Linked DNA regions of Saccharomyces cerevisiae S288C. Changing the gene in region 1 together with any one later gene gives a genetic interaction. Each region holds a gene or a part of one and is shown on either strand. Other genes may lie near its edges. The genes, in order: CDC13, NMD2, RIF1 and BMH1.

Evidence for each region.
Region 2: of CDC13 (region 1) and NMD2, a mutation in one rescues a mutant of the other (synthetic rescue), as found in Saccharomyces cerevisiae (6 studies listed by BioGRID, with this or other methods).
Region 3: mutations in CDC13 (region 1) and RIF1 together harm fitness more than expected from each alone (negative genetic interaction), as found in Saccharomyces cerevisiae (5 studies listed by BioGRID, with this or other methods).
Region 4: of CDC13 (region 1) and BMH1, a mutation in one rescues a mutant of the other (synthetic rescue), as found in Saccharomyces cerevisiae (5 studies listed by BioGRID, with this or other methods).

What each region holds. Positions count from the first base shown.
Region 1 is NC_001136.10:61,004-68,476, forward strand, and holds CDC13 (telomere-binding protein CDC13), read right to left. Parts: upstream 4,016-7,473; coding exon 1,241-4,015; downstream 1-1,240. Other genes in the region: FMP45 (Fmp45p), read right to left, coding at 1-798; DTD1 (D-tyrosyl-tRNA(Tyr) deacylase), read left to right, coding at 4,239-4,303, 4,375-4,762; YDL218W (uncharacterized protein), read left to right, coding at 5,490-6,443; translocation channel protein TIM22, read right to left, coding at 6,980-7,473. UniProt on the Saccharomyces cerevisiae protein: Single-stranded telomeric DNA-binding protein that regulates telomere replication. Has a role in both positive and negative regulation. Promotes [TG(1-3)] strand lengthening via interaction with EST1.
Region 2 is NC_001140.6:250,826-258,727, reverse strand, and holds NMD2 (Nmd2p), read left to right. Parts: upstream 1-2,971; coding exon 2,972-2,977; intron 2,978-3,090; coding exon 3,091-6,354; downstream 6,355-7,902. Other genes in the region: bifunctional endoribonuclease/protein kinase IRE1, read left to right, coding at 1-484; YHR078W (uncharacterized protein), read right to left, coding at 710-2,368; type 2C protein phosphatase PTC7, read right to left, coding at 6,503-7,479, 7,573-7,627. UniProt on the Saccharomyces cerevisiae protein: Involved in nonsense-mediated decay of mRNAs containing premature stop codons. It interacts, via its C-terminus, with NAM7/UPF1.
Region 3 is NC_001134.8:748,691-758,967, reverse strand, and holds RIF1 (DNA-binding protein RIF1), read left to right. Parts: upstream 1-1,861; coding exon 1,862-7,612; downstream 7,613-10,277. Other genes in the region: tyrosine/serine/threonine protein phosphatase PPS1, read left to right, coding at 1-1,348; serine/threonine protein kinase CHK1, read right to left, coding at 7,791-9,374; UBX7 (Ubx7p), read left to right, coding at 9,597-10,277. UniProt on the Saccharomyces cerevisiae protein: Negatively regulates telomere length by preventing telomere elongation or promoting degradation of the telomere ends. Recruited to telomeres by interaction with the C-terminus of RAP1, which binds directly to telomeric repeat DNA.
Region 4 is NC_001137.3:541,230-546,914, forward strand, and holds BMH1 (14-3-3 family protein BMH1), read left to right. Parts: upstream 1-4,381; coding exon 4,382-5,185; downstream 5,186-5,685. Other genes in the region: ECM32 (RNA helicase), read left to right, coding at 461-3,826; PDA1 (pyruvate dehydrogenase (acetyl-transferring) subunit E1 alpha), read left to right, coding at 5,588-5,685. UniProt on the Saccharomyces cerevisiae protein: Involved in growth regulation.

The DNA.
Region 1 (7,473 bases):
AGGTTGAGGCTGTCCAACCACAGGTGCGGCTGTGATAGGGCCCGCGCCGTCCGTCGCCCCACTATTGTAAGTGGATTTCTCCATTTGAGCACCGGTGTCAACAGAAGGGCTTTCATATTGGGCATACATGTCGTGGTCCGAGTAGGTAGAGTGGGCCTTGTGGGTAGCACTGAATATAGTGGACCAAATGGCGTTCACGAGCATCAAGAAGACCGAAGTCCAGATGAACGCAAAGTTTTTGGGTCCCAGCCTTGCAGACCTCCCGCTGTTGCGGAAGGTCTTTCTGGCCTTCACATAGCAACCTGTGTACAAGCATGCAGCCAATATAATGAAGAAAAAGGCCAACCAGGACAACACACAGTACAGGACTGGCACTGCCTTGAAAGGAAGGAAGGTAGCCAGAAAGCCGGGTACCAGCGCCAGTACGATGAAAAATAGGGAAATCAGCAGCATGGCCCATCCAACCCTGGATAGATAATAGTAGGTATCCCGGTTGTTTCTGAACGACGATGGTAAATTGACAGAGTTACCAAAATTGTCTCTGGGAGAGAAAGGCTTGGCGGGCGCCCTGCTAGAGCAATTAGCTAGCTGGCCGTCTTCGTAGCCGCACCAATTGTAATTGTACCATCTCGTGGTCGATGGAGCGCTGTTAAAGCCGTTTGTATCAGCCTGTAACCAATAAAAATTTTTCAGCGTTCCAGATTCTCTGCCTCCTGACAGAATAAGAAAAAACGTCAATAAGCCAGCACCGAGTAGGAATAAAAACACAAGCAAATTAACGAACCTTTTGAAAATCATAGCGGTAGATTATAGTGATTAGTGTTACTTGTTACTTGGATAAAAAGGAAAGTATAAGCGTTAAACGTAAATACCTCTTTCTTTTTAATTCACTTCAAAATTACTGTACTTAAAGTTTGCATCTAACGGATAACTAATCAAGAGAACAAAGCAAGATCAAGTAACTGTTGCAAAGCAACCATCCTTTTATATGTCGGCATCTGCGCCGAATGCTCCTCCCCATTCCAGACTATCCTTGTTTTAGCATCAAGAAGGAAGGAAGACCTTTCATTGACTCTTGCTTCTTACCACTCCCCTCTTTCCCTTTTCCTTCGTGTGAAAACGTTCCACTCCCTTATATTCAGAGCACCCTTAAATTTGGTTATTTGGTCTTTTTTTTTTATATTACTCCGAGACGTCACTGCAATTTGGCACCGCCGCGTTGGGCTGCGCGGATCATGTCTTACGAGGTGGGAACGGCTCCGGCGTCATCGTCATTATCCTCCTCCTTTTTCACGGTGACGCCATTTTGCGCGGCAAGAAGTCGCAGAGGATTGACGGTAGCATTAATTGCGCAATCAAGACTCCCTGAATCAGGAGCCGCTGCAACCTTCGGATGGGCCAGCTGTTGTTGCAATTCCCGAAAGGTGCATTCAATTGGGCACCAGATCTGGAGTGCCACGGTAGTGTCAGGGAACAGCGTGAGCGAGGAGGTTATATTGAATTTAAATGAATGGCCGAGAAATTGTGCCAATTGCGTATATTTTTCCTCAAGAGGCTGACGCTGTAAGTAGGCGCTTGAGCGGTTGAAAAAATAAGCAAAGTTCTTGGAGGTAATGATGTGTAGTTGCAACACTCGCTCCGGGGCCAAGCCGCGGGTTTGTAAAAGTGGGAGCTCATTCGTGATATGGAAGCAGAGATCAGATGCGTGGTACTCGATGGCGATGATACGGCCCTCGCAACTGTATAATGTGTTGCTCTTGTGTGTTTGCTGTGGGCGCGGGAGGCGAGCCGAGGAGTCCAAGAGAGAAGATATATCTGTGAACTTTACATCGAAGGAGGACACGTCTGCATTCAGGTCGGGTATGTGTTCTGCGAGAGCTGGTGTAGTGGGTGATTTTTTTGGTTCATGCTTTACTTCATCGAACCTCAGTTTCGCGAGATGAGAACCGTTTCTATGTATGGGGAAAAACCTCCGGTACTCTTCGAAATAGCGTGAAATTGCGGATTCGCCAATTCTCTTGAACGCTCGTTGGTAGAACAATCTTAAATGTTCGCACTGTGAAGGCGAGGCGATGCTGCTTATTTGGGAATGCGGGACCGGCTCACATTCGCGCACAATGGCATTCAATTTGCCGTTGTACATTTTCACTTTTATATTCATCTTACAAACTATGCCGTATTGCGAAAGGTTTTCATCGCGGCCGTTCTGTAGATCTCTTAGCCCGTTGTTGAATATTTTTCTGAGCTTAGAGTCAAACGTTTCGAATTGGTTTTTGTACATGATGGCTTTGAAGCCCTCGTTCAGCTCTAACTTGTTCTCGTAATCTATTAGATATCTGTCGTAAAGATAGTTTTGGACGATATCGTTCTTGGTAAAATCGCTAAAGACAAAAGATATAAAGGCAGGTTTATCAAACGAGCAGGAGACTAGCATGCCAAACATTGTTATGTATTTGGTCTCAAAAGTGTCGAGTCCCAACTGACAGAATTCGATGGTGGGGTCTTTCCTTGCCATTTTGCTCATCCTTGTGCGAGACGGATCGATTGACGCCGACGATTGCGCAGGCACCTGCACCTGCGCCTGCGCCTGCGTGTCGGTGCTAATGTTCTTCAAACTCCATACTGCCATACCTGGGCTGGCGGTCTTGTCATTGTCCCACAGGATCCTTTCAACTTCGACGGAAATTCGATCAGGCTTTTCCAGTAGTAAAATATCCGATATCTTGTCGCTTTGACAGTTTAAAACACCGAAGAGCTCACAGATTCGCTCTCTCGTCGGGATAACGATCTCAATGCAATTGACGCCTGGCACCAGGACCTTGTCTGGGACATTTGGTAAGAGCTGCGTAAAATATAATTTCAATGTGCAATATTTGAACTCATTTATACTGGCGAATTGAGGTGGATTCATGCCAACAATTTTGCCCTCTAACCTTTCAACTGAGCCTACACTAGCTAGGGAAAGTTGCTCATAACTGATGGCTTTGCGGATTGAGGACGCGTTCGGACTGTGGAAAGAAAGCTTTCTCTTCCTCTTGCTTCCGGAATCATCATCGTGCCAATTATTTGGTACGCTTGTTTTCCTTTCAGGTGTCTGTGACTGGATGTAGGATTTTGAGCTGAAATATTTCCCGGTAGAGGAGGTAGTTGAGGAATCTGAATCCTCAATGGGATCTGCGCTGTCATGCATTTCCTCTCCCATGTTGCTTATATCTGTGGTCGGTTCATCTACATTAAGCGTCATAAGCTGCGAGTTGAATTCGTTTTGGGATTCAATGTAAGGTATCCCTAGTCTATTTGGCACAAAGAAAGGATTAATTGCTGCGGCTTTTGATTTCTGCGATAATACCTTTTGTTGGTCTTGAACGAACTTTTTTAGTTCTATATCGTAGTGAATCAACTTTACAAATTTAAACCTGTTTTTCTCGTCTCTATTCATTTCTATTAAATTGTTGAAGATATCCACAAGTGAGTTGTTCAAATCACATTCTGAAATAAGTTCTGATGACGAATGCTTGCTGCTATTTGTCGATTTTGTAGATATGGTGCTTATCACACTTACCAAATCCAACGGTTTTATGTCCTCTAAGAATAGAGTATAGTTCCCGTGTTTTGATACATATAAAGCTTTACAACTTGAAAAACATAACCTTTCAAGGTGAATATCTCTCAGTATTACTGTTGGGGATGCGCCTGAGTCAGAATCTAAATCTGGCAGTTCAATATCAAAGTATTGGCAAAGTAAGGAAATAGTGATCCGGGCTAACCTCTCCGAGCCCCTATCTTTGAACTTCAGTTTGATTAAATATTGATCTTCTTGGGATTGATCTCCTCGCCTCTCAAAATTAGAAAAGCCTAGCAAACATTTTGTTTCAGTCAGGTGTATTGAGGTTAAAAGCGCCACGAATTGCACGGGAACTATTGCTTTGCTGGGATAGCCTTCAAAATCTTTACTCGAGCTCACAAAAATACGATTTTTATGTGGAGGACACTCAGGCTCTTCTAAGGTATCCATTTTTAGGCGATAGTTTCCACGGTCATTCGTATCCAAAGAGAAACATATATGAATATATTCTTAAATTTCCATTTTGAATTAGCATTTCGCATCTCACTAGGCCTTCGCGTCTCTTATGACGTTGAAAAATTTGGATATCAAAGGTTTAAAAAGTATAATCACGTTAATCAAGGCTGCATGTACATATTAAATAATCCACATATTATTCAGCAGCGGATTTACAATGAAGATTGTCTTACAAAAAGTCAGCCAAGCATCTGTAGTCGTCGATTCAAAAGTTATTTCAAGGTATGTTACCGGTTTTTTCAGCTTCGTTAGTGCACCAATTTTTTTTACTAACACCTCTATCTATGTGACAGTATTAAACATGGTTATATGCTCCTAGTAGGTATTTCCATTGATGATTCTATGGCGGAGATAGATAAATTATCGAAAAAGGTTCTTAGTTTGAGAATCTTCGAAGATGAATCCAGAAATCTATGGAAGAAGAATATTAAAGAGGCCAATGGTGAAATTCTATCCGTGTCTCAATTCACTTTGATGGCAAAAACCAAGAAGGGAACTAAACCCGATTTCCATTTGGCCCAAAAGGGTCATATAGCTAAAGAACTTTATGAAGAATTCTTAAAATTACTAAGAAGTGATTTGGGTGAGGAAAAAGTAAAGGATGGTGAATTCGGCGCAATGATGAGTTGCTCTTTAACTAATGAAGGGCCCGTTACAATCATTCTTGACAGTGACCAATAAGATTGACCTTATAGATATATACGAGAAGAAAATAAAAAGCAAACATTATTTGCAATCTTTCTTTCGCAAGATAAAGTACCAAAATCTTTCCATGTTATGTTCTCAGTGAAGTTGAGTAGAGCGGAGAGGAGCCCTCCCCAAAAAAATGAATACAAAATATCTGTGATGGATTTTTGAATTCACGCTTCCTTCAATAACCTTCGCCAAGAAAGTCTAGAATTGTTTTATATTCTTTACATAAAAGTAAGTAAATCAACTTTAAAAAACTTTAAGGGCGAAAATGAAAAAAAAAAAATGTAAAAGTGAAAAAAGGGACGGCGAAGCGATGCCCTGCCAGTCTTACTAATCCAGAGGGCTAAAAGCATGTTTACAGTGTATTTCCAGTCATAGGAGAGTATTGACCTGGCATGGAAAAAGAAACGCACAATGAGAAAGGGGATATATACCCTTAAATTGACGATAGTTAAGGAGATTTTGAGGTTTGTGTTACTAATAAACCAGTAAGCATACTCGTTGATGACTTTAACGTATATTTGGTTTCCAAGGGATATTGAAACCGTATCTTAAGGGATGACGATGGTTGGTTAACATTCCCTAAAAGACAACGTATAAAAAGGTTCAACAAAGCGTCCGTTACCATTATGCTTTGATGTTCTCAGTACGAAAGTTTACGGTTTTTTTTTTCAATTGAGGAACATAAACCAAATAGATATATTATATCAACGTTATGAAACGAGTTACTGGAGTTTTCTTAACACTTTTGAGATTTTCTCAATTTGCATCATCGGTTTTGGTGATGTCACTTTTGGCGTATGCCATCCACGCCTATGGAAATAGAGGTAATAAGAAAACCAACTTCACATTGGCAACAGGTGTCATTAGTGTGTTTTATCTGATTGCCTTAGGTATTTTGTGTCTGGCCCTACCCACATTGATCTACATAGGAATGTACTTCTGTGCCGAATTGATCGTTTGTATGCTATGGCTAGCAGCTTTCGTTGTTCTTGCCAAAGCTCAAGGTGAACGTAGCTGTAGCAACACTAATGCAGACGGATTATACTATAATCCGTACAGTGGCCAATATACTGCTGACAGTCATAGAAGAGCATGTAATTCTTCTCAGGCGGCAATCGCCTTTTCTGGCCTTTGCTTTGTACTGTTTTTGATCAGTGTGATATTACTGGGAATTAATGTCTTAACACCTATCAGGAAGCGTTATCAAACCCAAGGAATGTGGAGAAGCGGCGCTTCTATGGGTACAAAGCTCCATAGGTGGAGCGGACTAGCTTTAAGCGAGCCTTTTGAAGAAACAGCTGCTTACGATAACACCAATGTTAGGACCGGTGATGTCGAAGCAGGTGCAGGTGATAATGCTGCTTACACATCTGAACCGAATGGCGACGCACGCTATGCAACTAATGACCCCAATGGGCAGTACCATACTACCACCACCAACACACGTTACACCACAACAACAGCGGACCCTAAGACGCGTTACACCACCAACGATCGTAATCCTGGTTCTGCGAATGTCGCTAACAGTGCAGTGGACCAGCACGCTTACTCTACGGATGAGTCAGGTGATCGGTCTTATCAAGAAAAGGTCACAGAAGGAGCTCACTCTGGCGCTATGAGTGGTAGCACTGCAGAACCAAACAGGAACGTCAATCAAATGCCATAAATTCAATGATTTCCTTTTTGTTCGTCTATACCCTTCACATACTTTTTCTTTTTCTTTTTCTTTTCTTTGCTTAACGATTTGAATTGCTCCTGTTCTAATAATGGCGTCGTCTTTTAGAAAATCCTTATCAGGTGTGAATAATGCTTAATTTTTTTTATATATAATGATTTACTTTTATTACTTCTTATTTTTATATTTTCCTCTGTCAAATATGTGACTGAAATCTTCCAATTTATTAATATTAAAGTGTGACTATCACTTGAGTTTAGCGACAGTCTCTAACGCCTCGAATTCATCGACATGGGAAAATTGGAAAGGGTATCGTTTTTACACTTCCCATTTTCTTCCAGCAAAAATGATCGGCCCAGAGTCTAGTTAAAGCATGATTAATTCTCCCAGGGAATTTTTTTGCTTTACTAGTAACAGTAGTTCTGGAAATTATTAAGCGTTCTTAAATTCTGGGACGGTCGTGCAGAATATTAAGATAGGTGATATTTACAAATATAAAACATTCATCGTTCGTCGAAATTGGCTATTCATTCTTTAAAATCGTTTTGAGGTGGTCTACCATCCTCACTTTTCATATACAAATCAATTGCAGCTGAAAAGGCAGCAAACCCGGCACCACCCATTAAGGCAGCTTGTGGTCCAGCTTTGTATGCCAGCCCAGCACCGGTAAAAAACCCTGCGGTTACTCCGTTGTAAATATCATTTTTAGCTCTAAGTGACTCTATGACACACTCCACCCCAGCATATATCATACCAATGTAGCCAAAATTCTTAGCACTAGAGTAGGATTTTTTACCCATATCGGTAAATTGAAGTTTCATTTGCTGCCGGAAAGGTAAATCAGATATTTGCTGAACTGTTCTTGATATTCCACCCACACCTATATTTCCCGCAGTTGCAGTTGCTGCTGTATTTGCAGGTGTAGGTGTATGAAGAGGTGTATCATATGCCATTGACGCCATGAACAGGCCTAAAACACCACCCAGTGCAAACCCTGTTACACCACTCACAACTGATTTTC
Region 2 (7,902 bases), on another chromosome or scaffold:
TCTGATCTCCCAAATGATTGATCACGATCCGTTAAAAAGACCTACTGCTATGAAAGTTCTAAGGCATCCGTTGTTTTGGCCAAAGTCGAAAAAATTGGAGTTCCTTTTAAAAGTTAGTGATAGGCTTGAAATTGAAAACAGAGACCCTCCAAGTGCCCTGTTAATGAAATTTGACGCCGGTTCTGACTTTGTAATACCCAGTGGAGATTGGACTGTCAAGTTTGATAAAACATTCATGGACAACCTTGAAAGGTACAGAAAATACCATTCATCAAAGTTAATGGATCTATTAAGAGCACTTAGGAATAAATATCATCATTTTATGGATTTACCTGAAGATATAGCAGAACTAATGGGGCCGGTACCCGATGGATTTTACGATTACTTCACCAAGCGTTTTCCAAACCTATTAATAGGTGTTTATATGATTGTCAAGGAAAATTTAAGTGACGATCAAATTTTACGTGAATTTTTGTATTCATAACATGTTCATGCCCCTCTGCTTCTTCTTGGTTGATTATTGCATTAATGTTACTTTGATCATTAGTAGTAACCATCCATAATTTTTACGCCCTTGCATAAATGAAAAAAAGTTGTACTTCTTCATGAACCTATACTACTTTTCTCATCCCTACATAAACTACCCGACAGACATTTAATTTTATAAATACATATCTCATAAACATCGAACATCGACATACTACTCCAGTTATTCAACACTGACTTTTTTGGTGGAAAGCTTTCGTTCTGCAATTCTTATGCAAATAAAGGTAAACACACATGCAAAAGCGTAGACTTCATCAAACCAAGAATCTATGACAATGTTTGGGACGGTAAACTTTCCACCCAATAGCTCCTTTAATCTTTGTGATACTTCAAAAGGGAGATGGGACCTAACCATTAGCGTTGTAGCCAAAACGTAGACGCCAGTCAACTCTGACACCACCAGATTTTTTATCAAAGATATTCCTTTTTGTTCCTGAGAATAGTTTCTCTTTTTTCCCTTATAGGAAGAGTTATTGGTGTACTCTGGAAGTACATTAGCAGTGTCATCATTCTGCATGGCGAAAAGTGCAAGAATCTGGAACTTTATGGGCAAAAGGGTCACAACGTAGGAGATGGTGGTATTGACAGCAGAAAGACAGCAAAGAAAGAGAGAAATTGACAAAAATAACGATATCTGTTTTGTTAACGAATCGAGATCGTGCTGGTAATTGAACCTGAAAAACGAAAAATCCAAAATATTTGCTATCGTAATGGCTAAAGGATCGGATGCTGCATTTTCACTAAAATTTTCATAATCGTAGTCATCTGGATATTTGAGCGAGTGGTATATGATATAGGGGATTCTTTTCAGGAAAGTTATTATTAGTTTATGAAGACAGTATATGATAAACCCGACTTCAAAAGCTTTCTTAAAAGTGCGTACCTGAGGGGACTGTTGTAATAATGCTTCCAATTTCCCAAGCTCCAGTTGATACCAGGCGATTTTTTCCATCAACTCTGCTTTAAAAGTTGAGTTTTCTCCGACCTCTTCTTCTAAACTTCTTAATATTTGTACATTTTGTTCAATGTTGTGTTCATAATCTTGGATTTTTTCCTCTATATAGGCGTCTGTTGTCCATAAGAGAGATTTACTGTTATTGTTGCTGTTGTTGATGTTTCTAAAACTGGGGTCTGACATTGGTGTATTACGAAACTTGTGCCAGATGACTAAAAAGTTGTAGTATAAACTAGAAACAGTGGCTAACCCAGATAGGGAAGCCATGACTGTGACGCCTCCGATGGACAATCTAGTTAGAATATTTTTTGTGTACTGGAACGGTCCAATATTTATGTAACTTAACAGCGCAATAAGTGTGGACAAGATTATGCATGTCACTATTATCAACCTATCGATATCGAACTTGTCATTGTAGAATTTATTCAGTAACGATATTATAATGAAAAAGGGCTGAAATAAAATTAGTATGAAGGATAGCATGATTGCAGTCAGAGGCCACACCCAAGTCGTTATGAAAGTAACTTCCTTGTCCATTCCAGCAACCTTAATCTGCCATAGAATAATCTCTATGGTTACTGTATACGTCATCATTGCTAATGAAAAAAGGACTCGCAGTGATTGCAGTACCTTATGTGAGGGTAAAGAATACTCTGTGTAGAATTTATTTATGAAATTACCCATACTAGACACATCCTCATTCGAGCCAACTTCCATTTTGCTTGCCAACGGAATGACATTTTTCTTCGAGGAAGTTGATATAATGTCAAACAAAGACCCTACTTTAAACCAGAGCCTTTCATAGGAGCATTTGTAAGCAAATGCTCCGGATACGGAAAGCACTATAAATACGATAAGTGCCTCCATCCCGTCCACCACTTAGTCTACACTCAATAGTCCTTTCTAGTGCAGGTCCTGGAGGCAACCGCCAGAGTTGAGATCTTTTCCTTTTCTTTCCCTGCTGGTCAATTTTTATTGTTCAGGACTCGGTCATCGCAGATATCGCAATTTTTCACTCGTTTGAGTCTAGACTGTAAAATAAAACCGAATGGTTAAGCTAAAATAGACTCTGTATGACTAAGTCGTTCACTAAAGTTCATTATTTCATGCCTGAATGACCTTTATCTTAATTATGCACCATCATATAGCGTTTCTATGATCACTACGGGATATTATGATATTGTTAGGGGGTTATATTGAATATTTCTTAGGGCATGAGGATGATATTAGGGTTATTAATAGGTTTACAATTATATAATTTATGTGATAATTATCACTTGATACGAATTGATGGAGCCTGCTTCTTTTTTTTTTTTTCACTTTCTTGGCAGTCACTGAAAAACTGCATTCGAATACAGGTTTGAGAAACTAATGAGGCCCATATTACTTTACAATGAACAGTAACAATCAACTTAAATGCTTAAATAATCTAATATTGTATCTGCATTGATAATACATTGGACAGAAATTATGGACGTATGTTTGATTTATCTTACTGTGGCCAGATCGGCCTTTCAGTACTTCTAAGGTTTTATACTAACTTCTTTTATTGATCGTTGTAAACTACGGTAACAATTATGTATCAACAGGATGGACGGAAAAAAGAATTGCATGATTTGAACACCCGAGCTTGGAATGGCGAAGAAGTCTTTCCCCTGAAAAGTAAAAAACTGGATTCCAGTATAAAGAGAAACACTGGCTTTATAAAAAAACTAAAGAAGGGTTTTGTGAAAGGTTCAGAATCTTCATTATTGAAAGATTTAAGTGAGGCGTCCTTGGAAAAGTACCTATCAGAGATAATAGTGACGGTAACAGAATGTCTGCTAAATGTTTTGAATAAAAATGATGACGTAATTGCCGCTGTTGAGATCATAAGTGGACTTCATCAAAGGTTCAATGGCCGATTTACTAGTCCGCTTTTAGGAGCTTTTTTACAAGCTTTTGAGAACCCCTCTGTTGACATTGAATCCGAAAGAGATGAGCTTCAAAGGATAACCAGAGTTAAAGGTAATCTTCGGGTATTTACCGAGCTTTATTTAGTTGGAGTTTTTAGAACATTGGATGATATTGAGTCGAAAGATGCTATTCCAAACTTCCTACAGAAGAAAACTGGGCGAAAGGATCCGTTGTTATTCAGTATTCTCAGAGAGATTCTTAATTATAAGTTCAAATTGGGCTTTACTACCACTATTGCGACCGCATTTATTAAGAAATTTGCACCTTTGTTTCGCGACGATGATAATTCTTGGGATGATTTAATATATGACTCGAAGTTAAAAGGTGCGTTACAGTCTCTGTTTAAGAATTTTATAGACGCCACTTTTGCGAGGGCCACAGAACTGCATAAGAAGGTCAATAAACTGCAAAGAGAACATCAGAAATGCCAAATAAGAACGGGAAAATTGAGAGATGAGTACGTAGAGGAGTACGACAAGTTACTTCCAATATTCATTAGGTTCAAGACATCTGCAATTACTTTGGGAGAATTTTTTAAGTTAGAAATTCCGGAGCTTGAAGGTGCCTCTAATGATGATCTGAAAGAAACAGCTTCTCCAATGATCACGAATCAGATATTGCCACCCAACCAACGATTATGGGAAAATGAAGATACAAGGAAATTTTATGAAATCTTACCAGATATCTCAAAAACAGTAGAAGAATCACAATCTTCTAAAACAGAAAAAGATTCAAACGTTAACTCAAAAAATATCAATCTATTCTTTACGGATTTGGAAATGGCAGATTGTAAAGATATAATCGATGACCTTTCAAATAGATATTGGTCATCATATTTGGACAACAAAGCCACAAGAAATCGAATATTGAAATTTTTCATGGAAACACAAGATTGGAGCAAACTGCCAGTGTATTCCAGATTTATTGCAACAAATAGCAAATATATGCCGGAAATTGTTTCTGAGTTTATTAACTACCTAGACAATGGCTTCAGGAGTCAATTACATTCTAATAAGATTAACGTTAAAAACATCATCTTCTTCAGTGAAATGATTAAATTTCAATTAATACCATCGTTTATGATTTTTCATAAGATTAGAACATTAATCATGTATATGCAAGTTCCAAATAACGTAGAAATTTTGACGGTTTTGTTGGAGCACTCAGGGAAATTTCTGCTAAATAAGCCAGAATATAAGGAATTAATGGAAAAAATGGTCCAACTAATCAAGGATAAAAAAAATGATAGGCAATTGAACATGAACATGAAAAGCGCCTTAGAAAACATAATTACTTTACTTTATCCCCCTTCTGTAAAATCATTAAATGTTACGGTAAAAACAATAACGCCTGAACAACAGTTTTATCGCATATTAATTAGAAGTGAACTAAGTAGCCTAGACTTCAAACACATTGTCAAGTTGGTTCGGAAAGCTCACTGGGACGATGTAGCTATTCAGAAAGTGCTGTTTTCTCTGTTTTCAAAACCACATAAGATTAGCTATCAAAATATTCCCTTATTAACAAAAGTTCTAGGCGGTCTATACAGTTACCGCCGCGATTTCGTCATCAGATGTATAGACCAAGTACTGGAAAACATTGAGCGAGGCTTAGAAATTAACGATTATGGACAAAACATGCATAGAATATCAAATGTCAGATACTTAACTGAAATATTCAACTTTGAAATGATAAAATCCGATGTTTTGTTAGATACTATCTACCACATTATTCGGTTTGGTCATATCAACAATCAACCCAATCCATTTTATTTAAACTACTCAGATCCACCGGATAATTATTTCAGGATTCAACTAGTCACTACAATTCTGTTAAATATCAACAGGACCCCTGCAGCTTTTACTAAGAAATGCAAACTTTTGCTGAGGTTTTTCGAGTATTATACTTTTATTAAAGAACAACCTTTACCCAAGGAAACAGAATTCAGAGTTTCAAGCACATTTAAAAAATATGAGAATATTTTCGGAAACACTAAATTTGAAAGGTCAGAAAATTTGGTAGAAAGTGCCTCAAGGTTGGAAAGTTTACTGAAATCATTAAACGCAATAAAAAGTAAAGACGACAGAGTGAAGGGATCTTCTGCAAGCATTCACAACGGTAAGGAGAGTGCTGTTCCTATCGAGTCAATCACCGAAGATGATGAGGATGAAGATGATGAAAACGACGATGGTGTCGATTTACTAGGAGAAGATGAAGACGCGGAGATAAGTACACCGAACACAGAGTCAGCGCCAGGAAAACATCAGGCAAAGCAAGACGAAAGTGAAGATGAAGACGATGAGGACGATGACGAGGATGATGACGATGACGATGACGATGATGATGATGATGGAGAAGAAGGCGATGAGGATGATGATGAAGATGATGATGATGAGGATGATGATGATGAAGAAGAAGAAGACAGCGACTCTGATTTGGAGTATGGTGGTGATCTTGACGCAGACAGAGATATTGAAATGAAACGAATGTATGAAGAGTACGAGAGAAAACTAAAGGATGAGGAAGAAAGGAAAGCGGAAGAAGAATTGGAAAGGCAATTTCAGAAAATGATGCAAGAATCCATAGACGCAAGGAAAAGCGAAAAGGTTGTTGCCAGTAAAATTCCAGTAATTTCGAAGCCAGTCAGCGTTCAAAAACCTTTATTATTAAAAAAGAGTGAAGAACCTTCTTCAAGCAAGGAGACCTACGAAGAGTTATCCAAGCCAAAGAAGATTGCATTTACGTTCTTGACTAAAAGCGGTAAGAAGACACAATCAAGAATTTTACAATTACCAACGGATGTGAAATTTGTCTCTGATGTCCTTGAAGAAGAAGAGAAACTAAAAACCGAGCGAAACAAGATTAAAAAGATTGTTTTAAAACGTTCTTTCGACTGAGATTCTTTTGCGAATATAGTTCTTTAAATTTTTACTATATATGCCCACTTATGTTTGGCTCTATTAAATGGCTACGTGTTTATATAGTACCGTTTATGACGCTGTATTTTTATTTACACTGCTTTCCAGGAGATTAAAGAGCGGAGTGTTAGTCAACTCTCACGACAACAACAGTTATATCGTCTTCTTTACCACCGCTGTAGTTTTTGCCAGTTAGCTTAGAAATCTCTTGCGCAAAAACACTGGGGTAATTGGGGTCCTTGCTTAAACTGACAACATTGTCCACAAACTTCTGGGATAATAGCTGTAACTCATCGTTTGTTCTCGCAGCGTTATCCTTCAGAAAAAGCTCAATATCATCTGTGGCAATATTATCGGTTACACCATCGGTAGCCAATATAATAATATCCTTTTTTTTCAATTGGAAGCTATATTCATCAGCGTCTCTGGGGGTGTTTAAAATATACTTGCTACCCCTTCTTTCGGCCTCTTTCAACATTTCTTCTGGAATGATTGACAATTGGTAAGGAGCATTAAATCCAACAGTTTGAAACTTTGTCTGGAATACAAGTTTAGAATCTCTGAAGACTCCACACCAAGAATCACCCAAGTTGGCAACTTCCAATTTTCCATTAGATGGGAAGTGAGCCACAATGGCTGTTGTCCCACCAACCTTCACTACTTTCTCATCCCTAATTTTTGCGTATGCAGCACCAATAATTTTCTTTGGCGTTAAAAGCGTTTCTTTGGATGAATTTTCTGCTAAAGCAGTGCTTATTTCGTCCATTTTTTTACACAATTCTCTTGAGATGGCGCTGGAGTCATACCCATGCTCAGCCCATCCTCCAACACCGTCTGCGACACCGGCAAAAATATCGTGAACGTTGTTTGATGTAACAAAATAGTTGTCTTCTCCTGTAGGTGATCTAATAGAATCCTTTAGTTTTTGGTATATCAGATCGTCTCTGTCTTTTGGTTGGAAAGCTACCGCGGTTTTATAGGTGAACGGGCCTGATTGGCTACCTGAACTATACGCATCACCATGACTGTTGTTCGATTGATACCCACTCTTGGCACTTGAGTAAAAAGTCCTCTTGGAAAAGCTGATGATTTGACTGCAGGATCCTATGATATGAGAAAAGTTAGTCTCTGAGTCGATTAGCATTTGTCCCGCAAATTTAGCAATTAGCACACCAATGAATAAAACAATAAACATACCATAAAGGGGACCTCTCGAGACCCTCAAAGTTCTAAATCCAACGTTTGCAAACATTTTTGGTGGCTTTGTCGTTTGTTTTCTGGACCGCTTTTATTGCATGTGTCTTTTACATTTGTTTACTGTCAAAATGAAGCTCGCGTGTAAATTTGTAGATTGATTACAGAAAGATGTAGCTGAAACCAGCCAAGAAAGAACAATTAGCACATCTCATTTTATAGAGCCTCAGTTTCTGTCGTACGACTGTTGCAAAATATGTAGGTGGAAGTGGATTTTTAAATTACGTTTAAAACGTAGATTGCGAGTCACTGAATGGCAGCAAGCTTATTAAA
Region 3 (10,277 bases), on another chromosome or scaffold:
TTTCGAAGAGAATACAAGCATAGTAAATTTAAAGTCTCTAAATTATGATACGGACAATCCGACAACCTCCATTTCTCAACTGTATAACATACCGAATACAAAAGAGGTGTGGAAATTGATCATAAAATGTACGTCAAACTCGCAAATGCCGTCGTTAACGAAAATCCGAACATATCTAGATCTTTTATTAGACGATGATGCGTCAAAATCACAAGAGCATTTGCATTTGACTTTCCCTGCCTCAGGTAGTATAGGTTTGGGGAACTTAAACATTCAGTCTGTGGAAATTCTTTTGAATGTTTGTTATTTAATATTTCAAGTATCCCAAGTTCAAGAATTATTGACGTTCATGTATTGCGAAGACGGATATACAGAAACGTCATTATTATTAACAGCTTATATTATATTCCACTTTAATATTCCGTTACAAGACGCTCTTTTGAGGATCCATCCAAGACCATTTTTCCTTTTTCCATCAGACTTGCAAATTTTAGGCCATTTACAACCTGTCCTGCGGGAGTTTAGTCCGCAGAATGGAAGTAATCTAAAATTATATGCCAATGCATTGAAATTTAGGGATAAAAGCTTTCAATTACACATTTCTTCAGAGCTTTTTAGTAGCATATTTTTTATGAAGATTCCTCTTGAGTCTAATTTCGTTAATTTGAAGGGCCCACTGCCATCCCGGATTCTACGTCACTTGTATTTGGGATCCCTGGATCATGCACAAAATCCTGCCTTACTTAAGTCTCTAGGAATTACGCATATAGTTTCTGTCGGTGAAGTTGTTTCATGGACATTGAATAAGGATAAAATTGCTCATCCTGTAAGGCCACATCGTGCAATAACTATGACGAATACCAATGAAGTTGCAGGTAATACTACATGTAATAAAAGCAGAAATAGAGCTGATACTGTGGTCAGCGATAAGCAAGAAAATGGCAGCAACGTAGTAATAAGTGAAAATTCTGGATTTCAAATTTGCCAGATCGAAAATCTAGATGACAACGGCAAAGATCCGCTTTTCCACCAAATAGACAAAGTTTTGGATTTTATTAGCAATTCCGAAGCAACAGGAGGGAAAGTTCTGGTGCATTGTATGGTCGGAGTCTCCAGATCTGCAACAGTTTGTATAGCTGAATGTATGAGATATCTCCAGTGTGACCTGGCAAGTGCGTATTTGTTTGTGAGGGTACGGAGGCTTAATGTTATCATTCAACCAAACTTGTTCTTCGTATATGAGCTCTTCAAATGGTGGAAAAAGCATTATAATCGCGAAAAAGACAAAACTATGGATTGGCACATCATCTGTAGGGGTATCGCTGAGGTTAATATGAAGTACACATGAACTTTGTTATATAAGTATACGTACAACTGTATAATACGTAGGAAAATTACCAATTATAAGAAAAGTATGCAAAATTAACGCTATCAGCCAAGTATAACGAACTGCTGTAATCCTTTACAAATCGTTAAAAAAGGGCCGCAGCAAATATTTATATAGTAAGGACAGCTATCTTAGATTTACATCGTGAATATACTCTACTTTTGATAAGAAACAAGAAGTCAACAGAAGGCAGGTGATTAGTGCCATTTTGATTTTCAGTTCTTTGTGTTTTTCCTCTTATGTCATATTTACTACAATAATAGAAGTTACTATAATTGACCGACGCGTCGATTTTTTATTTATTGGCGACTCATCGTTAGCAAGAAGATCGAAAGTAATAACGCAGTCTTAGAGCGATTTGAGGCAATTCGTCGGCATCAGTACCTAAGGAGATAAAAGTGAATATATATATATATATTCGTCAACGTTATTACAGGATTGCCATTGCAAAATCGTTTTTGTGGTCAATTTGCAATGTCGAAAGATTTTTCAGATAAAAAGAAACATACGATAGATCGAATTGATCAGCATATCCTCCGTAGGTCTCAACACGATAATTATTCCAATGGAAGCTCTCCGTGGATGAAAACTAACTTGCCACCTCCATCTCCACAAGCTCATATGCATATACAAAGCGATCTATCGCCAACGCCAAAGAGGCGAAAGCTAGCGTCTTCAAGTGATTGCGAGAATAAACAATTTGATTTATCAGCTATTAACAAGAATTTATATCCAGAAGATACAGGAAGCAGGCTAATGCAAAGTCTTCCAGAGTTGTCTGCCTCTAATAGTGATAATGTATCACCGGTTACAAAAAGTGTAGCTTTTTCTGATAGGATAGAATCATCACCGATTTACCGCATACCAGGTTCCTCACCTAAACCCTCTCCATCAAGCAAACCAGGAAAATCAATTTTGAGGAATAGGTTGCCTTCAGTGAGGACTGTAAGCGACTTGAGTTACAATAAACTCCAATATACCCAACACAAATTACACAACGGTAATATTTTCACATCACCTTATAAGGAAACAAGGGTAAATCCTCGCGCCTTAGAGTATTGGGTGAGTGGTGAGATCCATGGTTTAGTTGATAATGAAAGTGTTTCGGAGTTTAAAGAAATTATTGAGGGCGGATTGGGCATCTTGCGACAAGAATCTGAAGATTACGTCGCGAGGAGGTTTGAGGTATACGCAACCTTTAATAATATTATACCCATTCTAACCACTAAAAATGTTAACGAGGTTGATCAGAAATTCAATATTCTAATTGTGAATATAGAAAGTATCATTGAAATATGCATACCGCATCTACAAATAGCACAGGACACATTATTAAGTAGTAGTGAAAAAAAAAATCCATTTGTAATCAGACTATATGTTCAAATAGTTCGATTCTTCAGTGCTATTATGTCTAATTTCAAAATCGTTAAGTGGCTAACGAAAAGGCCAGATTTGGTTAATAAGTTAAAAGTTATTTACAGGTGGACCACCGGTGCGCTAAGAAATGAAAATTCAAACAAGATAATCATAACAGCACAAGTCTCTTTCTTGAGAGACGAAAAATTTGGTACTTTTTTCTTGAGCAACGAAGAAATTAAACCTATCATTAGCACTTTCACTGAAATAATGGAAATCAATAGTCACAACCTAATATATGAAAAATTGCTACTTATAAGGGGATTTTTGAGCAAGTATCCAAAATTAATGATTGAGACGGTAACTTCTTGGTTACCAGGTGAGGTACTACCTAGGATTATTATCGGAGATGAAATTTACTCCATGAAAATTCTCATAACTTCAATAGTTGTTTTACTGGAACTACTAAAAAAATGCTTAGATTTTGTTGATGAACATGAAAGGATTTACCAGTGTATCATGCTATCTCCAGTATGCGAAACAATCCCGGAAAAATTTTTATCTAAACTACCGTTAAATTCATATGACAGCGCTAATTTAGATAAAGTGACAATTGGTCATCTTCTTACACAGCAGATAAAAAACTATATTGTGGTCAAAAATGACAATAAAATAGCAATGGATTTGTGGCTTTCAATGACCGGATTACTATACGATAGCGGAAAGAGAGTTTATGATTTGACATCAGAATCTAACAAAGTTTGGTTTGATTTAAATAACCTGTGCTTTATCAATAATCACCCCAAGACTCGCTTAATGTCCATCAAAGTTTGGAGAATTATTACCTACTGCATATGCACGAAAATATCACAGAAAAATCAGGAAGGAAACAAAAGTTTACTGTCACTTTTACGAACCCCTTTTCAAATGACGCTTCCTTATGTGAATGATCCAAGCGCTAGAGAAGGGATCATCTACCACCTTTTAGGTGTTGTTTACACTGCATTTACAAGTAATAAGAATTTGTCAACAGATATGTTTGAACTATTTTGGGACCACCTAATAACCCCGATTTATGAAGATTATGTTTTCAAATATGATTCGATTCACTTGCAAAATGTACTCTTCACAGTTTTGCATTTGTTAATTGGGGGAAAGAATGCAGATGTTGCATTGGAAAGAAAATATAAAAAGCATATTCACCCAATGAGTGTTATAGCCTCAGAAGGTGTAAAGTTAAAAGACATTTCAAGCCTGCCCCCGCAGATCATCAAGCGTGAATACGATAAAATCATGAAAGTTGTGTTCCAGGCTGTTGAAGTAGCCATTTCTAACGTTAATTTGGCTCATGATCTGATCCTTACATCTTTGAAGCATCTTCCAGAGGATAGAAAGGACCAAACTCATTTAGAATCCTTTAGCAGTCTTATATTAAAAGTCACGCAAAACAACAAAGATACACCCATTTTTCGTGACTTTTTTGGTGCTGTTACTTCATCGTTTGTTTATACATTTTTGGACCTGTTTTTAAGAAAGAATGATTCATCATTAGTAAATTTCAATATCCAAATTTCCAAAGTTGGTATTTCGCAAGGAAACATGACCCTTGATCTTTTAAAAGATGTTATCAGGAAAGCTCGAAACGAAACATCTGAATTTCTGATAATAGAAAAGTTTCTAGAATTGGATGATAAGAAAACAGAAGTATATGCCCAAAATTGGGTTGGATCAACGTTATTACCACCAAATATATCTTTCAGAGAATTTCAGAGTTTGGCGAATATTGTGAACAAAGTTCCGAATGAAAATTCCATTGAAAATTTCTTGGACCTATGTTTGAAGCTCAGCTTTCCAGTTAATTTGTTTACACTACTTCATGTGTCTATGTGGTCGAACAATAATTTTATTTATTTCATTCAAAGCTATGTTTCAAAAAATGAAAACAAATTAAACGTGGATCTGATCACGCTGTTAAAAACTTCTTTACCAGGGAATCCTGAACTGTTTTCCGGTCTGCTCCCATTTTTAAGGCGTAACAAATTTATGGATATTTTGGAGTACTGTATTCATTCCAATCCAAATTTACTAAATTCCATCCCTGATCTAAATTCAGATCTCCTATTGAAGCTGTTACCACGTAGCAGAGCTTCATATTTTGCAGCAAACATAAAACTATTCAAGTGCTCCGAACAGCTTACATTAGTTCGTTGGCTGTTGAAGGGTCAACAACTTGAACAGCTAAATCAAAATTTTTCAGAAATCGAGAACGTTTTACAAAATGCGTCTGATAGCGAGTTAGAAAAATCAGAAATAATCAGAGAACTCCTTCATCTGGCGATGGCAAATCCCATTGAACCATTATTCAGTGGCCTATTGAATTTTTGCATAAAGAATAATATGGCGGATCATTTGGATGAATTTTGCGGAAATATGACCAGCGAAGTTCTTTTCAAAATAAGTCCAGAGCTACTGTTAAAATTACTGACGTATAAGGAGAAGCCTAATGGGAAGTTACTGGCAGCAGTTATTGAAAAAATTGAAAATGGAGATGATGATTATATATTGGAGTTGCTTGAAAAGATTATTATACAAAAAGAGATCCAAATTTTGGAAAAATTAAAGGAGCCACTTTTAGTTTTCTTCTTAAATCCAGTTAGCTCTAATATGCAAAAACACAAAAAGAGTACAAATATGCTCCGTGAATTAGTCTTATTATATCTCACTAAACCGCTTTCTAGAAGTGCCGCCAAAAAATTTTTTTCCATGTTAATTAGTATATTACCGCCAAACCCTAACTATCAAACTATTGATATGGTTAATCTGTTGATTGACCTCATCAAATCACATAATCGTAAGTTTAAAGATAAGAGAACCTATAATGCAACATTAAAGACAATAGGAAAGTGGATACAGGAATCGGGCGTGGTTCATCAAGGGGACTCAAGTAAGGAAATTGAAGCTATACCTGACACTAAGTCGATGTATATTCCATGCGAAGGGAGTGAAAATAAACTTTCAAACTTACAGAGAAAAGTGGATTCTCAAGATATCCAGGTTCCGGCTACGCAGGGAATGAAAGAGCCTCCCTCCTCAATTCAAATATCTTCCCAGATTAGTGCGAAAGATTCAGATTCAATATCGCTTAAAAATACTGCAATAATGAATTCTTCACAGCAAGAATCACATGCTAACCGAAGCAGATCAATTGATGATGAAACACTAGAGGAAGTGGATAATGAAAGCATTAGAGAAATAGATCAGCAGATGAAGAGTACGCAGTTAGATAAAAACGTGGCCAATCATAGCAACATTTGTTCTACTAAAAGCGATGAGGTGGATGTTACTGAGCTGCATGAAAGTATTGATACACAATCCTCGGAAGTGAACGCATACCAACCGATAGAAGTTCTCACTAGCGAACTGAAGGCGGTAACAAATAGATCTATCAAAACGAATCCTGATCATAACGTTGTTAACAGTGATAATCCTCTAAAACGACCTTCCAAAGAGACGCCTACCTCTGAAAATAAAAGATCGAAAGGTCATGAAACGATGGTGGACGTTTTAGTTTCTGAGGAACAAGCGGTGTCGCCTAGCAGTGACGTTATATGTACTAACATCAAGAGTATAGCCAACGAAGAATCTTCGTTAGCTTTAAGGAATAGCATAAAAGTGGAAACAAACTGTAATGAAAATTCCTTGAATGTCACTTTAGATCTTGACCAGCAAACCATAACAAAGGAAGATGGAAAAGGGCAAGTTGAACATGTTCAAAGACAGGAGAACCAGGAAAGTATGAATAAAATCAACAGTAAAAGTTTTACGCAAGACAATATTGCACAGTACAAGAGCGTGAAGAAAGCCCGTCCTAATAATGAGGGTGAAAACAACGATTATGCTTGTAATGTTGAACAAGCCTCTCCAGTAAGGAATGAGGTGCCAGGAGACGGCATTCAGATCCCGAGTGGGACTATACTTCTCAATAGTTCAAAGCAGACAGAAAAATCAAAAGTTGATGACTTGCGTAGTGATGAAGATGAACATGGAACGGTTGCGCAAGAGAAACATCAAGTGGGTGCAATAAACAGTAGAAACAAAAATAATGACAGGATGGACAGCACACCCATTCAAGGCACTGAAGAAGAATCTAGGGAAGTTGTTATGACCGAAGAAGGTATCAATGTACGCTTAGAAGATAGTGGAACATGCGAACTTAATAAAAATTTGAAGGGACCGCTTAAAGGAGATAAGGATGCCAATATTAATGACGATTTTGTACCTGTTGAAGAAAATGTCAGAGATGAGGGCTTTTTAAAATCAATGGAACATGCGGTATCTAAAGAGACAGGTCTAGAAGAACAACCCGAAGTTGCTGATATTTCAGTGTTACCAGAAATTCGTATACCCATTTTCAATTCTTTGAAAATGCAAGGGTCAAAGAGCCAAATAAAAGAGAAATTGAAAAAGAGATTGCAAAGGAATGAGTTAATGCCACCAGATTCACCTCCTCGAATGACAGAAAATACAAATATCAACGCGCAGAATGGCTTAGACACCGTACCAAAAACAATTGGTGGAAAAGAAAAACACCATGAAATTCAATTAGGCCAAGCCCACACAGAAGCAGATGGCGAACCTTTGTTGGGGGGAGATGGTAACGAAGATGCTACATCTAGGGAAGCCACACCTTCATTAAAAGTGCACTTTTTTTCAAAAAAGTCGAGAAGGTTAGTGGCCAGATTGAGAGGGTTCACACCGGGCGACTTGAACGGAATATCTGTGGAAGAAAGAAGAAACTTGAGAATTGAATTATTAGATTTTATGATGAGGCTCGAATATTACTCAAACAGGGATAATGATATGAATTGATTGTTAGTATGTAGAATAGATCAAAATGGCAATAAATTAATTACAATAATAAAATCTCTCGAAACAATATATAGTTACGATGACACACTAGAAATCGAGAGAGATATATAATAAGTAGAAAGAATTTTTTTTTTTTTTTGATCAGTGCATCTTAACCCTTCTTTTGTCTCCATTTTTTTCAGTTGGGAATTAGGATAATATCCCTACAGATAGTTGAAATTTTCTTGAACAATCTTCTCCATTCTAAAGGATCACCAGTTTTTCTTTCAAATCCGACACTTTTCAACTCTTCTTCAATCTTTATGATGGAAATGCTACCGCATAATTGATAACCCCCATTACTTTTGGTTTTAATATTTATAATAAGTGGGAAAACGTTATCATAACCCAATAATTCGCACAATCTTTCAAAATTCGCAAAAAGGTCGGGTTTTACTCTAATTTGTGATAAATTCAAGGCTTTCTCCAAAATCGGTAACAAAACATCCATAGGTTGCAACGTGTAGAACTTGGTAAGTTTATTCGGATTAAATTGTAAATGTCGTTTTACTAATTCATTACAATCATTTTCATCAGAATGAAACTGTAAGGCAGCGATATCATAGCTTATGAATTGCGTCCACTTAGCCTCTTGTGTCATACCTGTTCCGCTATTATAGTTCGTATTTGAATCATACGAGGTAAATGCACGTTGTGTATTCGAAACTGTCTGGAAATGCATTGAGTCGTGTTCAAGCTCAGCCAATTCGTTACCAATTGGCTGAGTAGAAATGTACCTATTATTAGAGTTTGTATCTTGAGTGAATTTCAAATAATTTTCGTTACTCAGTGAGACTTTTAAGTGAGAAAACAGTTTCTTAGCCAAGAGTTCAGGGTCATTACAGAGACCATCATCCCCAGAAAATGAAGCTCGACGTAATACCCAAGGATGTAACTTTAAAGCCTTCAATGTCACCCTCTTATTTGGGTCAGGTTGTAAAATTTTTCGGAGTAGGTTCAAGTGAGTAAATTCTATCTTTGACCAGGGTCCCCAGTTTAAATTTCCATCATTTTCAATAAAAAAGACGAAATCTTCGTTCTCTAATGAAGGTAATTCCCAAGGCGTTTGACCAGTCAACAATACGAACAAGAGGATGCCAATAGACCATATATCTGTTCGATCTGCGTAATAACCCTCTTCAGAATATAATACTTCAGGAGCCATGTAGGGTGGAGAACCCCTTTGATCCATGGATACACGTAATGTACCATCTTTCCTCCTAAATTGAGAGGCGAGCCCAAAATCAGCTAGCTTCAGATTTCCGTTCTTATCGAGTAAGATGTTTTCAGGCTTGATGTCTCTGTGAGCAACTCCACATTCTACATGCAGATAATTAATAGCACTAACGAGCTGTTGAAAGTAAAATTGGGCCACGTCGGAATCAACTCCAACGTCAGGCTCAATCTTATCAAATAGATCACCACCATCTGCCATCTCCAGAATTATCCACATATATTCTTTAGAGACATTACAATCGATAAGTCTCAAAACATTAGGATGCTTAGAACACTTCGATTGCAAAACAACCTCTTTTGTGATATCCTTGTCACTGAGTCCCATTTTTTTGCAAGTGGGAACATGAATGAATTTAACAGCTAGAATAATGGAGGGATCCATTTGAAGATGAGCATTTTTAACGCAGGCGAATGCGCCTTGGCCTACTGTATCTCCTAAAACAACATCCTTGATATGGGGTAAAGGTGACACCTGCGAGAGACTCATAGTAATACGTGCTGCCCATATACAGCAACTTATGATATACTCTTATGTTTGAAGCTGTAGTTGTTTTTATTTGCCATTCAATTATTAAAATGACATTTAAAGCCGCTCTTTATTAACTTCGGCAGGCCTCGTAGTAATGTTGAAAATTTAAAAGGGAGCTGGGTTGAGGTTGAAAGCACTTACAAAGAAGCAAGGATAGCTAAACCAAACAGCCGTAACCAAATGTTAGAAGCACTGTTTAGAGATTCTGTGGAAGAAGCAATAAACGATTCCATCAAGGAAGGCGTTGTGCTGGCCGTTTACAACACTGCACGGGATGACCAGTGGCTGAAAAGTTGGTTTAAAGGAGATGATGTCTCATTAGATACTTTAGCGGAACATAGTATTTGGTTGAGGTTGGTCAAAGACACTGAGCAGTTCCAGTTATTTGAGCAAGTATTTCCTAATGTAGTTGTACCCAGTATATACTTGATACGTGCTGGAAAGATAGAATTGATTATTCAAGGCGAGGATGACCGACATTGGGAGAAGTTGCTGGCGTGCATAGGCATCAAAGACAAAAAGGCTGGTGAGAGTTCGTCCAGGGAAACCAATCCAGGTTTGGCTAGAGAAGAAAAGTCATCCAGAGACGTCCATAGGAAAAATGCAAGAGAACGGATTGCTGAGACTACCTTAGAGATCCAACGTCGTGAACAACTGAAACAAAGAAAGCTGGCTGAGGAGGAAAGAGAAAGAATTATAAGACTTGTTAGGGCAGACCGTGCAGAAAGAAAAGCTCTTGATGAAACTCATCACAGAACCCTTGATGATGATAAGCCATTGGATGTTCATGATTACATAAAAGACGCACAAAAACTGCACAGCAGCAAATGCGTCTTGCAAATCAGGATGACTGATGGCAAG
Region 4 (5,685 bases), on another chromosome or scaffold:
ATTGATTCTTTTTTAGATTTTTAACAAATGAGGTTATATGAGAATGAAGCAGGTCATAACAAGCGGAACCAAAGCTTACTCAAACAAGTTATCATTTCCAACTAAATCCTACTTGAACTGCACCTCTTAAAAGAAAGATAGAAATTCTATACAAGCGCTCTCACTCAATAAGAATTGTAAAATGAACATGACAGTGATGTGTCACACCTCGATCGGCAACGTGAATTGGTTACCGTCTATTTAGTAATCAGTACAGAGATATTGAAGATGCCGCTATTTTTTTTTTTTTATATTTCCGCCGTATTTTATTCCTGTGTAGTCGGGTAATGGATGCTATTTGTATGCGATTTTAGAGTCTTAAAATGCTCAAGAGTGATGTATAATGTAAGTTCATCATTTGAAGAATTCGAACAAAGTTGTGACAATATAAGGAGTTCCGCAGACTAAGAAGTACTACACGATGGATTTTCAGTGCAGAACGTGTAGCCAGGCTTATGATGCTGAGCAGATGATGAAGCATCTCTCAAGTACGAGGCATAAAACTGTATTCGACACTTCAAATGATGAAGATATTTGCTGTGAGGAATGTCAAGATAAAAATATACACCAACTTCAAATCATCAGGTTTGGGGGTGAAGACATGGTTTTACTTTGTAATTCGTGTTTTCGGAAAGAATATTCAGAAACGGAGCGTCCATCAACTAGCTACTCATTACAAAACGGCTCTATATTGAAATTTTGGGAAAAGTACGTGAAAGTCAGGGAATGTTGTTGTGATGAGTGTGGGGAAGAGTCTAACTTGAATGCAAATAGAAATGGAGAAGTATTATGTGACAAGTGCTTGCCCAAATCGAATAGAGCTAAAGACTTTGTTTCTGAAAAAAGTGGAAGATTCCTATACATCTACTTGGGACTGAATGAAACACAGAATAGCACTAGAAAGCCTAGAAAAAAGGGCGGCAGAAGAGTTGGTAGAGGAAAGAAGGGCAGGAAGGGTGCTAAGATTAAGAAGGAGAAAAAGGAAACTTTCGAGGCCAAAATAAGTAGAATCGCTTATGAAGTCAAGAAAGAAAATAGTACCATTCAAAGCTCTAGTAGTTCCAATCTAAGAAACTTCAAAGGTTTCAAAGCGGTGGAAAGCGATCCAGTAGTTGCAGCAAAAGTAAGCAAATCAGAGACTAGTAGAAGTAATCCTGGCCCATCAAATCGAAACAAAGGGAAAGGAAATAAGGCAAACCACAAAAAGAATAGTGGAAATGGGATAGGAAAAGAGAAAGAGAGGAAAACAAACATTAGAAATAATGTCCGTAACAGCCAACCTATACCAGAGGACAGAAAAAATACCAATAGCCACGTTACAACAAACTCTGGAGGGAAAGGCAAGAACGAATCAGTGGATAAGCACCAATTACCGCAACCAAAAGCTTTGAATGGAAACGGGTCGGGCAGTACTAATACTACTGGTTTGAAAAAAGGGAAAAAAGACCATGCTGGCCAGAAGACTAAGGGCAATGATAAAACGGGTAATAAGAATCCGCGAGAGGCCAAACTAAATTCAGCTGGCAGAAAGAATGCACTTGGCAAAAAATCAAATAACCAGCCAAATAAGGGAACTAGCAGGTGGACAATTGGATCTGATACTGAATCTTCTAGAGAACCTAGTATTAGCCCAAACGAGAACACAACTTCAATTACTAAATCGCGAAACCGCAATAAGAAGGCTAGCAAGCCGACGCTGAATGAAAAATCAAAAACAACAACGATGCCAAAAAAGTTGGAGACAAAAAATCAAGAGAAAAATAATGGAAAAACTAAGGACGGGAAACTTATTTACGAAGAAGGTGAACCACTCACAAGGTATAATACCTTTAAGTCAACCTTATCATACCCCGATTTGAACACATACCTAAATGATTACTCATTTGCCCTTTTTTTGGAACAGAAATTAGAGAACGAATTTGTTCAAAACTTCAACATACTATGGCCTCGCAATGAAAAAGATACAGCTTTTATAATCAACGTTGAGAAGAATAATAATTCAGAACTTGAGAAATTACTACCTGCAAATTTGCTTGCACTCGGTAGACCGGCATTTAATGAAAGGCAACCATTTTTCTTTTGTACTCAGGATGAACAAAAAGTTTGGTATATTTTTATCAAAGAACTTTCTATTCAAAGGGGTAAATACGTGTTGTTAGTGGAGCTTTTTTCGTGGAATAATTTGAGTTTGCCAACGAAAAATGGTTCATCTCAATTTAAGCTATTGCCAACTTCTGCGCAGACAAGTAGAATTCTATTTGCCATGACGCGTATTACAAACCCAAAATTTATTGACCTATTACTAGGCCAAAAGCCTATTAAAGAGATTTATTTTGATAACAGGCTAAAATTTTCCAGTGACAAGTTGAACCGATCTCAGAAGACTGCAGTGGAACATGTTCTAAACAACAGTATCACAATTCTACAAGGCCCACCTGGTACAGGTAAAACATCAACAATAGAGGAGATAATCATCCAAGTAATTGAAAGATTTCACGCATTCCCAATATTGTGTGTTGCCGCGTCAAATATTGCTATTGATAACATTGCCGAGAAGATTATGGAGAATAGACCGCAGATAAAGATCTTAAGAATTTTGTCAAAGAAGAAAGAACAACAGTATAGTGATGACCACCCATTGGGCGAAATTTGTCTCCACAATATTGTATACAAAAATCTTTCCCCAGACATGCAAGTCGTGGCAAACAAAACCCGCAGGGGCGAAATGATCTCCAAATCAGAGGACACGAAGTTTTATAAAGAGAAAAACCGTGTCACCAACAAGGTCGTATCTCAATCGCAAATAATTTTCACGACAAACATTGCTGCAGGTGGTCGTGAATTGAAGGTTATAAAAGAATGTCCCGTGGTAATAATGGATGAGGCTACACAATCATCAGAGGCTTCAACACTAGTCCCACTTTCGTTACCAGGTATAAGAAATTTTGTCTTCGTTGGGGACGAAAAGCAATTGTCAAGTTTCAGCAACATCCCTCAACTGGAAACCTCACTATTCGAAAGAGTCCTATCTAATGGCACGTACAAAAACCCACTAATGCTGGATACGCAGTACAGAATGCACCCAAAAATTAGCGAATTCCCCATTAAGAAAATATACAATGGTGAATTGAAGGACGGTGTCACGGACGAACAAAAGGCATGGCCTGGCGTGCAGCATCCGTTGTTTTTTTATCAGTGCGATTTGGGGCCCGAGAGCAGAGTGAGAAGCACGCAAAGAGACATAGTCGGGTTTACGTACGAAAACAAACACGAATGTGTAGAAATCGTGAAGATTATCCAAATACTAATGTTGGACAAGAAGGTTCCGCTGGAAGAAATTGGTGTCATAACGCCCTATTCTGCACAGCGTGATCTGCTGTCTGACATCTTGACCAAAAACGTAGTTATCAACCCCAAACAGATTTCTATGCAACAAGAATACGATGAAATTGAGCTATTTAACGCGGCTGGTTCTCAAGGAACCGCCGGCAGTCTACAAAACAATGTGATTAACATCATCAACGGCCTACACGTCGCGACCGTAGACTCCTTTCAAGGCCACGAAAAATCTTTCATCATATTTTCATGTGTCAGAAATAACACCGAAAACAAAATCGGCTTTTTACGTGACAAAAGAAGGTTAAACGTGGCATTGACAAGAGCCAAGCACGGACTAATTGTGGTGGGCAACAAGAATGTCTTAAGAAAAGGAGACCCCCTATGGAAAGACTACATTACCTACCTCGAGGAACAAGAGGTCATATTCACTGATCTCACAGCTTACTAGCCGGCTAGGCGGCGGCAAGAAAATCCACTGTTTATGTATTGATTGCGCAATGCAGAGATAGATAGATATAGATAGATAATGGACGTAGTTATAGAACAGAAAATCGGTAGATCGAAAACACAGGGGAAAAAGGGGGGGGGGGGGGGGAGACAGCGCAGCCACGTGACGGGCTTCCTCTTTGGAAAGTGGAGCGAAGTTTTGCGGAAGCTACTTTATTCCGGCCTGGAGTCAAAAGAGGAAGCTCGGTGGCAAATAGCTTCCTCTTTGTGGCCGGGGCGCGGGGGGACGAGGCAAAAAGCAAAGAAAAGCAAAAAAAATAAAAAAAAAAACAAAAAAACAGGGGTATGAGAAAAAGACACGCTTTTCCACGCGCAGCAAAAAGGAAAAAGGAAAAGGAAACTCTTTATTATTGGACCTTAAACCTGAAAACGAGACGAACCGTAACATAAAACCGTGTAGTTTCTGCAAAAATAACTTAGTTTTTCCTACTTTTCAAAATTGAGAGCGCAAGCAAGTGAGAAGAAAAAGCAAGTTAAAGATAAACTAAAGATAAAAATGTCAACCAGTCGTGAAGATTCTGTGTACCTAGCCAAGTTGGCTGAACAGGCCGAACGTTATGAAGAAATGGTCGAAAACATGAAGACTGTTGCCTCCTCTGGCCAAGAGTTGTCGGTCGAAGAGCGTAATTTGTTGTCTGTTGCTTATAAGAACGTTATTGGTGCTCGTCGTGCCTCTTGGAGAATTGTTTCTTCTATTGAGCAAAAGGAGGAGTCCAAGGAGAAGTCCGAACACCAGGTCGAGTTGATTTGTTCGTACCGTTCGAAGATTGAGACCGAACTAACTAAGATCTCCGACGATATTTTGTCCGTGCTAGACTCCCACTTAATTCCATCAGCCACCACTGGCGAGTCCAAGGTTTTCTACTATAAGATGAAGGGTGACTACCACCGTTATTTGGCTGAATTTTCTAGTGGCGATGCTAGAGAAAAGGCCACAAACGCCTCTTTAGAAGCATACAAGACCGCTTCTGAAATTGCCACCACAGAGTTACCCCCAACTCACCCAATCCGTCTAGGTTTGGCTCTTAACTTCTCTGTCTTCTATTATGAAATTCAAAACTCTCCAGACAAAGCCTGCCATTTGGCCAAGCAAGCTTTTGACGACGCTATTGCTGAGTTGGACACTCTGTCTGAAGAATCATACAAAGATAGCACACTTATCATGCAACTGCTAAGGGACAATTTAACCTTATGGACTTCAGACATGTCCGAGTCCGGTCAAGCTGAAGACCAACAACAACAACAACAACATCAGCAACAGCAGCCACCTGCTGCCGCCGAAGGTGAAGCACCAAAGTAAGTATTCTGATAAATCTAAAGAGAAATTACTAAAAAAAAGAAAAAAAAAAGAACGGGGGTGTAATAATTTGTAGTTCATTATTGCAATTATATATCTATATCTATATATGTATATAACATTAACATGTGCATGTACACACGTAATCGCGCGTGTACATGTCTATATGTGTTACTTGAACTATACTGTTTTGACGTGTATGTTTATTTATCTCTCTTCTGATTCCTCCACCCCTTCCTTACTCAACCGGGTAAATGTCGCATCATGACTCCCGACAATAATCCCCTCTGGTATAGCGAGAAGCAACTTTAGCTTCTTAACGGCAAGAACTTTTTTATGTTTGTCGCACCTGTATCTTCACAAAAGTTGGATACAGCAATAAGAAAGGAAACCACATTTGTGCCAATGCTTGCTGCTTCATTCAAACGCCAACCATCACAATTGGTCCGCGGGTTAGGAGCTGTTCTTCGCACTCCCACCAGGATAGGTCATGTTCGTACCAT